2 linked regions of the Stegostoma tigrinum genome follow. The protein of the gene in region 1 purifies or fractionates together with the protein of each later gene. This does not show direct contact. Links are inferred from orthologs where the notes say so. Each region holds a gene or a part of one and is shown on either strand. Other genes may lie near its edges.

Evidence for each region. The genes of interacting proteins can lie anywhere in the genome.
Region 2: the proteins of stx12 (region 1) and synaptosomal-associated protein 23-like purify together in Homo sapiens (affinity purification with mass spectrometry; 3 studies listed by BioGRID and IntAct, counting the BioPlex papers as one, with this or other methods). This does not show direct contact. The link is inferred for Stegostoma tigrinum from reciprocal best matches to the Homo sapiens genes STX12 and SNAP23.

What each region holds. Positions count from the first base shown.
Region 1 is NC_081377.1:38,845,467-38,853,486, forward strand, and holds the start of stx12 (syntaxin-12), read right to left. Parts: upstream 3,324-8,020; 5' UTR 3,216-3,323; exon of another isoform or gene 3,131-3,215; intron 2,969-3,130; exon of another isoform or gene 2,945-2,968; intron 1-2,944. UniProt on the Homo sapiens protein: SNARE promoting fusion of transport vesicles with target membranes. Together with SNARE STX6, promotes movement of vesicles from endosomes to the cell membrane, and may therefore function in the endocytic recycling pathway.
Region 2 is NC_081363.1:85,179,995-85,188,348, reverse strand, and holds the start of synaptosomal-associated protein 23-like, read right to left. Parts: upstream 3,368-8,354; 5' UTR 3,288-3,367; intron 1-3,287. UniProt on the Homo sapiens protein: Essential component of the high affinity receptor for the general membrane fusion machinery and an important regulator of transport vesicle docking and fusion.

The sequences.
Region 1 (8,020 bases):
GTAACAAGTGATTCAGTTAGAACGGTTATCTTAGGATACCTATAGTGTGAAAGGAGGCCATTCAGCCCATCAAGTCCACACCCCTCCTCCAAAGAAAACCCCACACAGACCAACCCCCTACCCTATCCCTGTAACCCTGCATTTCCCATGGCTAATTCACCTCATCTGTAAAGACCTGGGCATTATGGGCAATTTAGCATGGCTAATCCACCTAACCTGCACTGTGGAAGAAAACCCATGCAAAGAGGGGGAAGGGGGTGGTGGTGGAGGCGGAGAGAACTTGCAAACTGCACACAGTAGCCCGAGGGTAGGATTGAACCTAGCTCCCTGGTGCCGAGACAGCAATGCTAACCACTGAACCACCACAGGTTATTATACAGGAGACTGCCAGTTAGCCACTTTGGGCAGCGTTGGAACTCTGGCACAGCAATTTTAGCTAGTCGCAATTCCTTGCCCTGTGGCCACCACAAACCCATCACTATGGTAAAATTGTCTCAGATTCCCTTTTCCTACTTTTAAACCAAGGAGCAAATGGCAACATGCTTGGAATGCACAAGTGCTACAATTCCAAAGGTGTATAGATAATTCAGAACAAATATTAATTGTTCCAACTGACAGCACGATATTCTGTTGTGTCGCCATAATACCTTTAAAAGATGGAACTTCGCGTGAAAAATTCAGCTGGTAACTCTCTACAGCAGTATACTTATGTAGTCACTTGTGAACAAAGTGAAAGTTCAATCTAAATGTGAACAGGACAACTTGGCAATTTGCTGCTACCAGGGCACATCTGTCAGATCTACGCTCAGTCTGCTTTACTTCCCTGACTGAAATGCTTTTCAATCCGTTGTAATGTGAAATTAAGAAAAGAATAATCACAGTTCAATTCACAACCTGTGCCAAATTAGCCAATCTCAATGAAAACAGTGGTTCATAAAGGAGATAATCAATCTAAATTCTCATTCCAAATCATTAACTAATGAAGTTCACTGTTAAATGTACACATCAAGGATGACAGAACAGGTGTCAGCTGTATATCTGAATCAAAACGATAAAGCAGAAGGCACTTTCAGGAAGGAAGGGAAATATAGGAAGAAAAGTCTTTATATTAAATGTTTGTGGTGTATTCATAAATACAGGATCTGGCAATCTACTTATGAATTCAGAGACCAGGAATGTGATCATTAACAACTTTGAAAATAAAACGATTGCAGCTATGTTTACCTAACAGTTCACACAGCATGACATATTGAAATACAGGAACAGTCCACTGACTTCAGTGTGATGTTCTTTCAACTCACTAGCGACAGCAGATTGTTTTCAGGCAATGCAACAGCCACATTCCTAAAAAAGAGGTAACTGCAGTAGTAACTGAAATAGTGCCATATTCTGGAGAATATGAATGATACAAAGGTATCTTTCCTGTTCTAATTATAACAGCTCATTTATAATTGCTCAAATGTGCTCTAATCTGGCTCACTAGTAGCAATGACAAGTATATTACATGTGTTGTTAACAGGATGAGTTTGGAGGCCAGTGGAAAACAGCCTTTTCTCATTCATGACTAATCATAAAAAATTAGTCAGTTAAGGATGATTCACCTTTCAAAAATGAGACAACTTGTTAAGAGACTAATAATAGAAGAGGTCTAGTTTGAATTAAATTTTATTGAAGACATTAAAAAAGGCCTTCTTAATACCACTATGAGTATGGCTACACCCAGAGATTCCAGAAGCAACCTAGCACTCTGATATAAGAAGGTGTAGAGCTGGATGAATACAGCAGAGGAGCAGGAAGGCTGACGTTTTGGGCCTAGACCATTCTAGGCCCGAAACATCTGCTTTCCTGTTCCTCTGATGTTGCCTGGCCTGCTGTGTTCATCCAGCTTTACACCTTGTTACCTTAAATTTTCCAGTATCTGCTGTTCCTACTATCTCTCGCACTCTTTCTACAGAGCAATTAGGGATGGACAACAAATGCTAGCCCAGCCAGTAGCACCCTGACTCTAAAATTTTTTGAAAATATAAAATACAACTTAACACCTAGGTCATTTAGCCACACCACAAATACATCCAAGTGGGCTGTCAGGGTTGAGGTGGTGCAATATCACATTTGAAAGAAGTCAAAATACTGGAAACAAAGTCCACAGTAACTGTCAAAGTTAAACGGTCATGCTTCAATAGAGCTAGTTCAACATCAATATTTGCCACATTTATAGGTATTAACAGCTTAGTTAGGGCCAATTATATTTTTTGCTGAGGCTGTGCTTGCTTGGATTAGACTGGCTACCATAATTCTCCAATTTGCCTTTTAAACATTCAGTAGTCAGACTGAATGGTCACAGACTCCCACCCAGAAACAGTGAATTATGCAAGCTTCAAAATGCCATCCTTGTGGGCAAGACAGCTCAATCCTGTATCCTACAGAACATCTTCACAAACTCATTAAAATTAACTTCTTTTATAACCACTTCATCAAGATTCCAAACAATGCCTCAGAGTCCAAACCTGAGTAGCACTTAGGTGTTACCTCTGCCCTTGAACTCTAAACAGTCATCCCCAACTCTGAATTCAAAATCAAAAATAGAAATTGCTGGAGAAATAGTTCTGAAGGATAACTAGACCCAAAACATTAACACTGTTTTCTCTCCACAGAGGCTGTCGTACATGCACATGTTTCCAGCAATGTCTGTTTGTGTTTCAGAGCTCCAGGATTTTCGGTTCTTTGTTTTAAGAAAAAAATAAGTATTGAAACCCTCGTCTCATTGACAGGTCCCTTCATGGCCACCGCCCACCATCCTCCATTGGAGTCCCTCCGCTTGCCCATACAATCCACCACACTCAACACTTCAATTTGGCCCTGGTGCTTCCTTTGGCTCCGTAAAGCAGTCAGGTTCGAACAGGTTATAAAGGGCGTTGGCTGCCTTTAAGTCGCCTTCACTCACGTTCGAGCATCGGCCCGGGCCAGGGCCAGGGCCAGGGCCAATAACAGCTGGGTAGCCCAGGGAGCTGCAAAATAATGTACCCCAACCGCCCCAGTGCGCAGGCGCCAGGTCACCTATCTCTATAGATACACTATTTGGCCCCGGTCAAAAAGTGTTGTCGACAACGGAAGAGTAAATAACACACACCTCCACCCAAGGCTGCCTGCTTTATCCGAGAGTTTCCTACCGCAGCGTATACCTTAACCAAAGGAGCGCCGCTCCCGACACCCACCGAAAGCCCCGACAAAATCACGTGAGCTTAACGTCACGGACGTGGTCACGCCCACTCGTGCGGGATGATGTCACCAGGAATCTGTCAATCACACCTTGGAGGCCATTCAGCCCATCCACACCACAGAAAGAGAGTGAGCCAGCGAGAACTCCAGATGCTGGGGTCAGAGACAATAAATATGTTATAAACCAGTCCTGATGAAGAGTCTAGGCCCGAAACGTCGACTCTCCTGCTCCATTGTGCTGCCTGACCTGTTGTGTTCGTCCAGCTCCACACTGTGTCGACTCCAGGAAGGAAGCTGGCTTCTGCTTTCACTTTCCCATGCTCTTGTCTGCAGGTAATCGTACCAGGACAGTCAGCTTGGATCACAAGCGCAAATTGCAGGAGAAACTGGGCTGGTCTGGAAGCATCTGCACGGAGAGAAACAAGTGTTAACGTTTCCAGTCCCGTGACCCTTCATCAGCACTCAACTCAGATTAGAGATAACAAAGTATGGAGCTGGATGAACGGAGCAGGAAAGCTGACGTTTCGGGCCTAGACCCTTTCATCACGGATTCTTAAGCATCTGCAGCTCCTATTACCTCAACTCAGATTAGAATTTAGTTGTGATTAAGGGTCATTGGAGTCAGAACATTAACTGTTTTCTGTCTCCACAGATGTTACTAGACCTGCTAAGTTTCTCCAGCAATTTTTGTTTTTGTTTCAGATTTTCATCATCCACAGTTCGTTGTTTAATTTCAATTAGCTTGGACGGCTGGTTTGTGATGCAGAATGATACTAACAGTATGGGCTCAATTTCTGCCCCCAGTTGGGGTTACCAATGAAGGGCTGTCCTTGCCCTGAAGGAGGGTCACTGGACTTGAAACATTAACTCTGTTTTTCTCCGCACATGCTGCCAGACCTGAGTTTCTCCAGCAATTTCTGTTTTTGTTTCAGATATTCTACGTCTGCAGATCTTTGCTTCATATGACCATTGAGGCCCTTCTCAATCTCACCTCTTGCCTGAGGCATGGTGACCCTCAGGGTAAACCATCTCCAGTCATCTCCCTCTAATGACAATGCTGCTCCACAGTCAAGTAGGACTTTGGTGATTTACCATTTACGAGAACGCTTTGCTGTCACAATAAAATCAAAACATTGCAAATTTCAGAAACCTGAAACAAACACAGAAAATACTGGTGAAACTCAGCTGGTGTGACAGCAACTGCAGACAAACAGTATTGCTGTTTCAAGCCCAATATGACTAATTCTTCCGGGGTTGGAAAATGATGGTTTTTATGTTTGTGACAGAGCACATCTCCAGCTGCTCATCTGTAAACACACTATGACATTATGATCCCACATGCTGAGCTTGACCGCTCTTTTTGCTGCACTTCATTTGTCCTCCAGAACATCTGAACATACATGAATTAGGATCAGATGTCATTCATTTGGCACCTTGAGGTTGCCCCAACATATTCATTTATATGATGTGGATGTTACTAAATGGCCAGCATTTACTGTCTATCCCTAACTACTCTTGAGAAGGTGTCTTGAACCTCTACATTAAACTGGTGTAGGTATACACACAGTGCTACTAGGAAGGTAGTTTCAGGAGTCTGTTCCAATTAGAGTTAAAAAAAAGTGATATAGTTCCATGTGAGGATGACCTGTGACTTGGAGGGGAGCTTGTCGGGGATGGTGCCCCCTTGTATCTTTTGCCTTTATTCATCTAGTTGTTGGGGGTCTTGGATTTGGAAGGTGTTGTTGTAGAAGGCTTGGTGAGTTGATGCACTACTTCTTGCAGATGGTGTACATTGCTGCTACTGAGCATTGGTGGTGGAGTTTAAATGGCTGGTTGGAATATCAATCATGTGGGCTGTTTTATTTTTGGGTGGTGTCAAGCTTCTTCAATATTATTGGAGTTGGAATCACCTAGGTGAGTGAAAAATATCCCATTACACTCCTGACTTGCACCTTGCAGATTGTAGATAGGCTTTGGGATCAGCTACTGGTTACAGAACTCTCAATTTCTGACCTGATAACATATTTTTGGGGTTGTTCAGTTCAGTTTCTGGTCAGTGTTGACTTCCAGGATGTCAACAGTGGCAAAATCAATATTAGTAATGCCATTGTACATCAATGGGTAAAAGTTAGATTCTCTTGTTAGAGATAGTCATTGCCTTGTGTGGCACATAAGTTAATTTCAACTTATGAGCACAAATATGGATGATGTTCAGATCTTGGTGCATATGGTCATGGACTATTTTAGTTTCTGAGGAGTCATGACTGCCGCTGAACCTTATGTCATCATCACCAAACATCTCTATCTCTGACCTTATAATGGAAGGGAGGTCCCTATTGAAGCAACTGATAGTGGTTGGGACTGGAACACGACTCTAAGAGACTTCTGCAGCAATTTCTCAGGACTGTGATGATTCACTTCCATCAACCACAATAATTTTCTTTTGTATAAAATTTTATCACAGCTAATCTGACTGTGGCTGAAGTCAACTTTCCTGTTTACCCTGATAATCATTGACTCCTATTGTCAATCAAAAATCCACCTAACTCAGCCTCATTTTGTATTCATTTGTGGGATATGAGCATCACTGGCTGGCCAGCATTTCTTCCCCATCTGCAATTGCCCTTGAGAAGGTGGTAGTGAACTACTTTCTTGAAGGGCTACAGTCCCCTGGCGTGAGTTGACCCACAATGCCATTAGAGAAAGAATTCCAGGATCTTGACCCACTGACAGTAAAGGAATGGCAATATATTTCCAAATCAGGATGATGGGTGGCTTGGAAAGGAACTTGAAGAAGGTGGTGTTCCCATGTCTCTACTGCCTTTGTCCTTCTAGATAGAAGTGATCCTGGGTTTAGAAGGCACTGCCTGAGGATCTTTGGTGAATTTCTGCAGTGTATCTTGTAAATAGTACACACTACTGCTACTGAATGTCAGTGGTGGAGGAAGTGGATGTGGTGCCAATTAGGCAGGCAGCTTTGTCCTGGATGTTGTCAAGCTTCTTGCGTGTTATTGGAACTGCATGGATCCAGACAAGTGGAGACTATTCTATCACACACCTGACATGTGCCTTACAGATGATGGACAGTTTTTGGGGAGTCAGGAGTTACTCACTACAGTATTCTTTGCCTCTGACCTGCTTTAATAAGTCACCGTATTTATGTGCAAGTCCAACATGTTGATAGTGGGGTTTCAGTGATGGTAACACCATGCATGTGAAGGGCAATGGTTAGACGTCCCCATATTGGCAGTGGTCATTGTCTGGCATTTGTGTGGTGCAAATGTTATTTGCTAAGTGTCAGCCTAAAACTGGTTATTGTCCCGATCTTGTTGCATTTGAACTTAAAATGAATATTCAATGACTCTGCCTACACCACTTTATTGGGAAAAGATTTTCACAGACTAATGACCCTCTAAAAGAAAAGCTTCCCTGTCGTCATCATCTTAAACTATATCTTCTAATCTTTGTTTCTCCCCATAAGGGAAAACATCATCCACCCTGTCACGTTCCCTCAAGGAGAGATCCCTATTGTTTTCCAGCTCTGATCAACTGACAAAAATACCGACAATTTCCCTCCCTAAATGTCATTTTTTGGGGTTCTTTTTGACGTTACATTTTCAAGCACCCCTTTATTTGACTATAAATGGAATTTTAGGCACATATCCTCACATCCTCATTTCAAAGATCACTGTTTCCTTCCACAGATCTTTAAGTATTGTTTGAGTTTCTGATGCATACAGAAAGTTGGGTAAGAACTCTTAGTTTCTTTTCTTGCTCAAATTTTCTTATTTTTGGCTCCTTTTCCCATAGTCCTGCAATTTTTTTCTCATCAAAGGATTTATCCAATTCTGCTTTGTAGGTAGTCTTGGCTCTGTAAAGCCAGTCACTTTCTCCTTCCCAGCATTGCCAACCCTCTAAGATTTTCCTAGTTGTTGTGGGGGAGGATTAGATCTGCCAGAGATGGGATAGATAGGGGGCCTGTTAGCAGGAGCACAGCTATTGTAACTCAGAACTCCATGGCAGCTATCACTGCCATGGAATATGTAACCCATAAACTTCATCCTGTTACCCTATTTAGGAAAGCCCTGGGGAAATTAAAAATACGGATTTTTTTTTAAAAGAGAGTGCTATTCTTCAATAACTTGTCAAAATATTAATGATAAGTCTGATTGACTGGTTGGAGCAGTTAAAAACAGGTCACAAAATCTCTAATGACATGTAAAAGCCTACTCATTCTTTATCACAAAAATATTAACTAAAGTAAAAACATATACATCTGGACGGAGGGGTGCAGAAATATTAGAATTTTAGGTGTGAATTTTGAGAATTTGCTGCTTATTCAAACATGACCTGAGTTGCAAAACCGCAGACTCTCAACACCACAAAGATCACTTATTTCAACCTTTGCCTGTCTGGCTGTTCTGCAGCATGGCTAGGTTCCAGGTTATTACAATGAGACTAGGAGGGATAATTGACTCTGCTCTTTTCAACCTCCTTTTCAGCTGCAACAAATGCTTGAAATTATTTTGTAACCCAAGGCCATGTCTCTAATAAAATGTAGTTACCCAATGTCCACTGTATCAGTAGGAGGGCTAGGTTGGCTCAAGTGGCCGGATTGCTGGCTTGCACTGCAGTGGTGCCAACAGCGCAGGTCCAATTCTTACACCAGTTGAAGGTACCATGAAAATTCCACCTTCTCAACAACTCCCCTTGCTTAAAGCATTGCAACTCTTGGGTTAAACTCACCAGCAAGCAACTTTTTAATGAGCATACAGTCCTCTGGGACTGTGGTGACTTTACT
Region 2 (8,354 bases), on another chromosome or scaffold:
GCAGCAACACTAAAGGCAGGATCAGCCAGACACCAATCAAGGAACTCTGAGGAAGTGTCTTCTCAGATATGAAACACAAACTTTATTTCTCTCAGTTGCTCAGTTCCTCCTGCATTTATTATTTTTAAACAAGGACAGGTTCAACGCCTGCTATGGAAACACATTGCTCTCACCTCCATTGGAAATCTGACCCAAGCCACACAACATACAGATAGGACTATCACCTGGCAAAGCCTGGCTCAGAGGTACAGATCCTCAGGTAGGGGTAGTTTTGCTTCTGGAGTGGAGGCGCCAGGGGATTAAGGCAATGGGTGATATATTTGAGAGATGTGGGAATGAAGAGGCGATTACAGGTGGCAAACAGGGGGAGAAAAGGGGGTGACAAAGAGGGAGAGGGGGTACTTGCAACCTTAGGTTTTGCACCATAGAATGGTACCTTTCAGTCACCATGATACCTGTGACAGCTCTCAGGAAAAGCAGCTTAGCACATCCTAAAACAGTGCATTTCTAATTTCTCCAGACATCCACACGTGAATCTGTCCCTGTCACACAGTATATATGCTAAATCTTCACTGTGTAAAACACCTTGTGCTCAGTGCACCTTCGGTCCTTTATTATTAACTTGTGCCTCCTGCCCTTCCAACCATCTGCTAATGTGAACAGGATTTCTCTGCCTACGAATTGGGTCACGTTATGAACTATCGCTTTTGAGAAGGGTGAGCGAACACCCCAGCTTCTGCAAAACAAAAACAGGAATTGAAGAAACACAGGTCTGACTTCTACATAGAGATAAGAATTGAATTCTGGTATGACTCTGCAGAACCTTTTGTAGTTCATGCACAACACTCAGAAACACAGTCATGAGCATGGAAACAGACCACTCAGATCCAAACTCAAAGCTCTGCAAACACTCAATTCAGATAATATGCTTCCTTTTTATCCTTTGAGCCAAGATTAGACAACTTCCTACTTGATACTAAATTTGCCAGATCTTCACCCACTCACTTAACCTATTGACATCCCTCTGTAACTCCCATACGTCCTTTTCACAACTCCTTTTCTGATCTACCTGTAGGCCATCAGCAAGTTTAGCACCCACGCTGTCTGTTCCTTCATCCAAATCATTCATAGAAATTGTAAAAAGTGGAAGCCCCAGGACAGCTCCTGTGGCGTACCACTCGTTCCATGTTGCCAACCATAAAATGACGCATTTATCCCCACTGTTTTCTGAAGCCAGGCAATCTCCTATCTGTATATTACCTCTGACACTATGTGCTTTTTATTTTCTGCAATAACCTTTAGTACGCAATCTTATCAAATGTCTTCTGGAAATCCAAGTGCACTACATTCAGCTTCCCTTTCTCTACCGCTGGTGTTACATCGTCAAAGGACTCCAATAAAATGATTAGAAAGGATTTCTCTTTCTCAAAACCACATTGATTTGGTCTGAATTTCCTAAATGTCTTCAATAATCGTCCCTACCATAAATGTTAGGTCAAATGGCCTTTTGTTCCTGCCATTTTTTGTTTTAAATAAAGTTACATTCACTATTTTCCAATCCAATAGAAACTGTCTGAATTACAGAGCTATGAAAAATTAAAACCAATGGATAACTATTAGCCATTTTGAAAGACATTTAGATGAAGCCCTGCAGGGTCCAGGAATTGTCAGCCCACAGTTTCACCAATTTGCTCAATAGTACTTCCCTGGTGATTGTAATTTTTCTGATAGTCTCTACCTTCCATTTTCTGATTGAAAGCCATTTCTAAGATGGCCTGCAATCATGTTGCAATTGAAACCTTTGACTTATATTGCTTCTCCTTCTTTCCCCTGCCAAAGTGTATCACTTCATGTCTAACTGCTTTGCATCGCACTTGTCACAGACCAAACAAAATTTACAGGATGTAGACATCACTGGCATGACCAGCATTTATTGTCTGTACCAAGCTGAGGTAGTAGGGAGCTGCCTACTTGAAAACCTAAAGTCCATTTTGTGGAGGTACATGCACACTCGTGAAAGGGTGGAACTTCCACAATTCTGACTCAGCAACACTGAAGTAACGGTAACATATGTCCAAGTCAGGATGGTAAGTGGCTTGGAGGGAAGCTTGCAGGGGTGGTATTCCCGTACATCAGCTATGCTTGTCATTCGAGATGGAATTTTGAAGGTGCTAAGGAATACTGGTGAATTTCTGCAGTGCAGCTTACGGATAGTACACACTGCTGCTACTGACCATTGGCATTAGAGGGAGTGGCTGTTTCCTGCAAGCTACCTTGTCCCAGTTAGTGTCAAGCTTAAATGTTCTTGGAGCTGCATTCGTCCAGGCAAATAGGGAATATTCCATCACATTCCTGACCTTGCCTTTTAGATGGCGGACAGGCTTTGGGGAGTCAGGAAGTGAGTTAGTCACCGCAGGACTCCTCATCTGCTCTGGTAGCCACTGCATTTATGTGGTGAGTCCAGTTGAGTTTCTGTGCAATGGGTAACCCAAAGACATTAATAGGGGTTTCAGGGACAGTTACATCATTGAATGGCAATCGTTCAACTCTTTCTTGTTGGAGATGGTAAATGTATGGCACAATTGTTACTTGCCACTCATCTGTCAGAAAGGATGTGTTGCTAAAGGTAAGCATATAGATGCAGCAGGCAATAAAGGAGGGAAGTAGTATGTTGGCTTTTGTTGAGAGAGGTTTTGATGCACACTAGGTCAATGCAGCCTTTTTTGTCAAGAACAATCATTATTTTCACCTCACCCCAGTCTTCCCATTTCACCAGCCTACCCACATCCCGAAGGCTGTTTTGCAAATTTTGAAATTGTGCGAGTGCACGCTCTTATGCCAATGAAACAGTGATGCTCAATCACGTTCATCGTTACCGTTTTCCGATCGGCCGACTAACCTTACCCCCGAGTATTCCAGCATTTATCCCGCGGCGCTTGACTGAATGCCTTTTAGGCATCCAGTCCACACTGACATATCTACAGCATCGTCCCCGCCTTCAACATTTCAAGCAAGTTAGTCAAACACAGTCTGCCTTCACAATTCCCTGCAGGCTTTCCTTTATAAACGCACACTGGTCCGGATCGTTGTTAACTGGGGCCCGGGACTAAGCCACCTCCCCCCACGCCTCAGTCACCCACCCAACTCCCTGGTACTACCCTCTCTCCTTATCCCCCATCCACTGGAACTTACCCTCCCAGGACACTCACCACTACCGCCTCCCCTACCCATTGTACCCTAACATATTCAACACCCTCCCTCAGTCACTCACTCACTCACTCACTCACCTCTCCAGCGCAGCCTCTCTCCGGTCTCGGTCGATTCCCACCCTCTCAATGCGCATGCCCTATGCCTCGTGACGTCATCACCACCCGCGCCGCACGACGACATTGAACGCCCCGTTCCGGGCTGCGCGTAGCTGGACCGCGTTGTCGGGGCGTGTGCCCTGACGCTGGTCTCACTCCCCAGCTCCAGCTCCCAGGATCCCCAGCGTGGCCACGGCAAGATGGCGGTGCTCCCCTGAGCAGTGCGGCCCAGTCTCGGGCCTGAGAGGTCCATTTACCGTGAGTAATTCTAGCCCCCGCTCCCCACCTTCGGGACGACCCTCCAACCAGCACAAACTCGTTCCTCACCCCCCCACCCCCAACCCCTCTCACGGCAATCTCAACACCCTCTTCCCTCACACCGGTTGTTACCCCTTAACGTCACACGTCCTTTCCACCTTCCCCGCCCACAACCTCTCTGTCTTTCCCATTCCCCCCATCTTCTCTCTTCTCGCCCCCCATCTTCTCTCTTCTCGCCCGCCCCCCATCTTCTCTCTTCTCGCCCGCCCCCCATCTTCTCTCTTCTCGCCCGCCCCCCATCTTCTCTCTTCTCGCCCGCCCCCCATCTTCTCTCTTCTCGCCCGCCCCCCATCTTCTCTCTTCTCGCCCGCCCCCCATCTTCTCTCTTCTCGCCCGCCCCCCATCTTCTCTCTTCTCGCCCGCCCCCCATCTTCTCTCTTCTCGCCCGCCCCCCATCTTCTCTCTTCTCGCCCGCCCCCCATCTTCTCTCTTCTCGCCCGCCCCCCATCTTCTCTCTTCTCGCCCGCCCCCCATCTTCTCTCTTCTCGCCCGCCCCCCACCTGAAAGCGAAGGTGGTAAGCATTGGTTGCACTTGGACCAGTTGACCCAGGTGAGTTCTCTGGGTAGGTATGAAGAGAGGTTGGAGAGAAGCTGGAAAAAGATCTATGTTGAAAGTGAATACAGCAAAGAGTGTCCAACGATGTTTAATCTGAAACACTTGGTTGATTTTTTTTGTGTTTGATTTATTTTTGTCACAAAAATCTTGATACAGTGACAAGTTTTGTTTTGGCTGCATTTCAGACAGATCATATACAAAGCGCATTAGGGTAATAGAACAAAGTGAAGAATACAAAGTTAAGGCTGCAAATAAGGTACACAAAATGCTAGATCAACATTTAAATATAAAATTTTAGAGATCCATTCAGAAGTCTAATAAGTGGCAAAAAACGCAGTTCTTGAATCTGTTAGTACATGTGTTTCAGCTTTTGTATCTTCTGCTTGACGCAAGAGGTTGGAAGAGATTATAAGCTGGGTGGGAGGGTGTCTTTGATTATGTTGGCTGCCTTTCAAAGGCAGCAAGAAGTGCAGATGGAGTCAATGCATGGAAGTTTGGCTTGCATGATGGATTGGGCTGTATTCATAAATCTGTGCAGTTCCTTAATGGCTGTGGGCAGAGCAGTTGCCATACCATCTGTTTAGAATGCTTTCTATGTTGGATGGTCATGATCAAAACGACAAAGGTATGCATGGGCCTCTTTCTCTTGTTAAGAGTGAGGATGTTGGAGAAATGCATTAAGTCGGTTGGCAGTGTGGAAAAGAAAACCTGGGGTGCTTTTGCATTGCAGGTTGACTCTGTAAACCCACAAACCTGTTTCTTTGAAGTGAAATATATAAATGGTCCTCAATTATGGTTTCAAGAAAAGATCTGATTTTTTTTAACCACATATTGTTCAATGAAAAACATCTGACTAGCCCTAACTTTCAAGCTAGCTAAATCCAAGTCGATTTGTGACCTTATGGATGCAAATATGCACTCTGGTATTGGTAGAGAGGTGAAGAGGGTCCTTGGAGACATTCTTGAATAGATCAGCCAATCAATCATAAGATCCCAGAAATAGGAGCAGTGGTTGGCAGTTCAAAGTATCAAGGCTCCGCCAACATTCAGAAAGAGCGTGGCTTGAATTTTTATATTCAGTCAACGGATTTGGGCTTTGGCTAGTCTAGCATTTATTGCCCTTGAAAAAGCAATGGTAAATGCCTTGAACCTCTGCAGTCCTTGGTGGTGTAAATACATCCACAGTGTTGTTAGGGAGGGAGTTCTGGGATTTTAACCTAGTGACCATGAAGGAAGAAATTTCATACTAAATTATGATGGTTTAGAGGGGAACTAGCAGATTGTGGTGTTCCCTTGCATTTGCTGCACTTGGCCCTGTCATTGGAAGAGATCGTGGATTTGGAAAGTGCTGACGAAGGAGTCTTGATGAGTTCCTGCACTGCATCTTTCAGATGATACACACTGCTGCCAATGCGAGAGGGAGTGAATGTTGAAGTTGATGGATGGGGTGCAACTCGGTGGACTGCTTTGTCTTTGTTGTTGAGTGTTGTTGGAGCTAAACTCATTCAGCCAAGTTGAGAGAATTCTATCACACTCTATCTTGTGACATGTAGATGGTGGACTGGCTTGGGGAATTGGAAAGTAGCTACTTGTTGCAGAATTCCTAACCTCTGACCTGCTCTTGTAGCCACAGTATTTATAGCTATTTTCTGATCAACTTGTTCAGAGGTGTGTTACATATCTCTGCAGCAGTTGAGACTTGAACTTGGGCATCCTGGCTCAGGTACGGAAGCAAAAGCACTAGCCACAATGTTCATATGGTTAGTCCAGTTCATTTTCACTCAATGGTGACCCTGGGGATTTCAGTGATGGTAATACCATTGAATATATAGGTGCAATGGTTCGATTCTTTCTTCATCGTGTGAGTATACACAATGGTACTGAAATTTGCATGATCATCAGTGAGCATCCCAAACTCTGACTTTATGATGGAGTGAAGGGCATTAATGAGGCAGCTGAAAATGGTAAGGCTGCGGATACTACCCCAAAGAGCTCCTGCACTGGAGCTGGGATGACTGACCTCAAACGAGCGTAACGATCTTCATTTGTCGTCAGGGTATGATCCAACCAGCAGAGAGTTCCTCAGTTCTTGTTGATTCCAGTTTTGCTTGGGCTCCTTGATGCTATATATGATGCTGGGGATCTCAGGTGGAAGTTGAGCTGGATCATCTACTCAGTATTTCCAGCTGATGATTGGTGCAAATGCTACAGGCTTATCTTTTGCACTCGAGCTGGGATCTTCCATCATTGAGGATGGGAATATTTATGGAGCTGTCTCCTCAAGTTGTTAGTGAATATTCCAGTACCCCTCAGCTGCGTGTATTAGGAGTGTGGAGGTTAGATTGGCTCTATTGGTTACTGCATTGAAGTTGTAGATTTGCTCACCAAGACGGTGTGTTTGGTTGCAGGCACTTTGTCACCCTGCTAGGTAACATCATCAGTGTGTCTCTGGTGGAGCATTGGCATTCTGTCCCGCTTGATATTGATATGCTTTGGTTTATTGGGTGGTTGGCATTATTTCTGGTTCTGTTTTTCAATGGTTTGTATATCGGGTCCAGTTCAATGTGTGTGTTGATGGAGTTCTGGTTGGAATGCTAGGCCTCCAGGAATTCTCTGGCTCGCGCTATTATTGGATGTGTTGTCCCTGTCGAATTAGTGTCCTTATTTGTCTGTGTGTACTGACACCAGTGAAAATTGGTCGTGTCTCTCGGTGGCTAGTTGGTGTTCGTGTGTCCTTTATAGTCAGTCTTCTTCCAGTTTGGCCTATGTAATGTTTTTCACAGACCTTGCATGGTATTTTGTACACTATTGGTGGTGGGTATGAGATCATTTGCATTCATCAGTTGCTGTTGCAGGGTGGCCAACATTCTATGTGCCTTTCAAATTATTGGCTGTGCTCTGGTGCTAACTTTGTGATTCATGAACTGGGACACCAAGTCCCTCTGTTCTGTAGCATTCAGCAGTAAGACTAGAAGAAATATGACAGGAGTAGGCCATTCAGTCTGTTGAACTACTCCGCCATTGAATAGCCTCTCTGTCTCTGCCCATTGAAGTAATATTCTTCTGTTTTTCCTGCTAAGGTACACAACCTTACATTTTCCCCCATCATGTGACTGGCAATTTTTTTTGCTGGCTCATTGAATCTGTTCCTTTGAAGACTCTATCCTCCCCCACATGTGCTTTCCTTTGTATCTTGGTAACATTGGCCACAAATTTGGCTACGTGTTATTTGTCATTTCATCATGGTGGTATTATGCACTGATTGCCCACACACTTCACCGGTTATAGTTTGACCATTTTTCCAGACTGCCCATTCCTTATTAGCCAGTCCACAGCATATCACCCCCAAAACTGTGTCCTCTCAACCGATGCAGTTACCTTTTTTTGTGGCAGCTAAAGATACCTCTTTAAACCCCAAAAACACTACATTTACAAGTTCATCTTTATCCACCTGCTTACATCTTATAAGAAATTTAACAAATTTGTCAAACATTGGGTGGTATGGTGCGTCAATGGTTAGTACTGCTGCCTCAACACCAGGGACTGAAGTTCGATTCTAGCTTTGGATGACTATGCGTATGGAGTTTGCACATTCTCTCTGAATCTGTGTGGATTTCTGCCAGGATCTCTAGTTTCCTCTCACAGTTCAAAGATATGCAAGTTATGTGGATTCGCCGTGCTAAATTACCTCATAATGTGCAGGCTAGGCGGATTGGCTATTGGAAATGAGAGATTATGGGGATAGGGTGGGGGAATGGGAGTGGGTGAGATGTTATTTGGCGCAGATTCGATGGGCCAAATGGCCTGTTGCCATACAGTAGGAATTCTATAATTCTATAAACATTATTTTCCTTTCACAAAAACATTTTGTTTTTGCCTGATTTTATTTTTCAATTTCCATCTAGTACTGCCTCAGTGGATTCTAGCATTTCCCCAGTAATAGATGTTGCACTACCTGACCTATATTTTCCTGCATCCCATCTCCCTCCTCTCTTGAAAAGTGGTGTGACATTTGTGATTTCCAATATAATGGGACTTTCCAGAATCTAGGAAATTTTAGGCGCTCACACCTTATGCATCTGCTGTCTCTACATTCATTCCTTTTAACACCATAGGTCCAGCAGACTTATCAGCCTTTAGTTGCATTTTTTTGGTACTTTTTTTCTTAGTGTTGA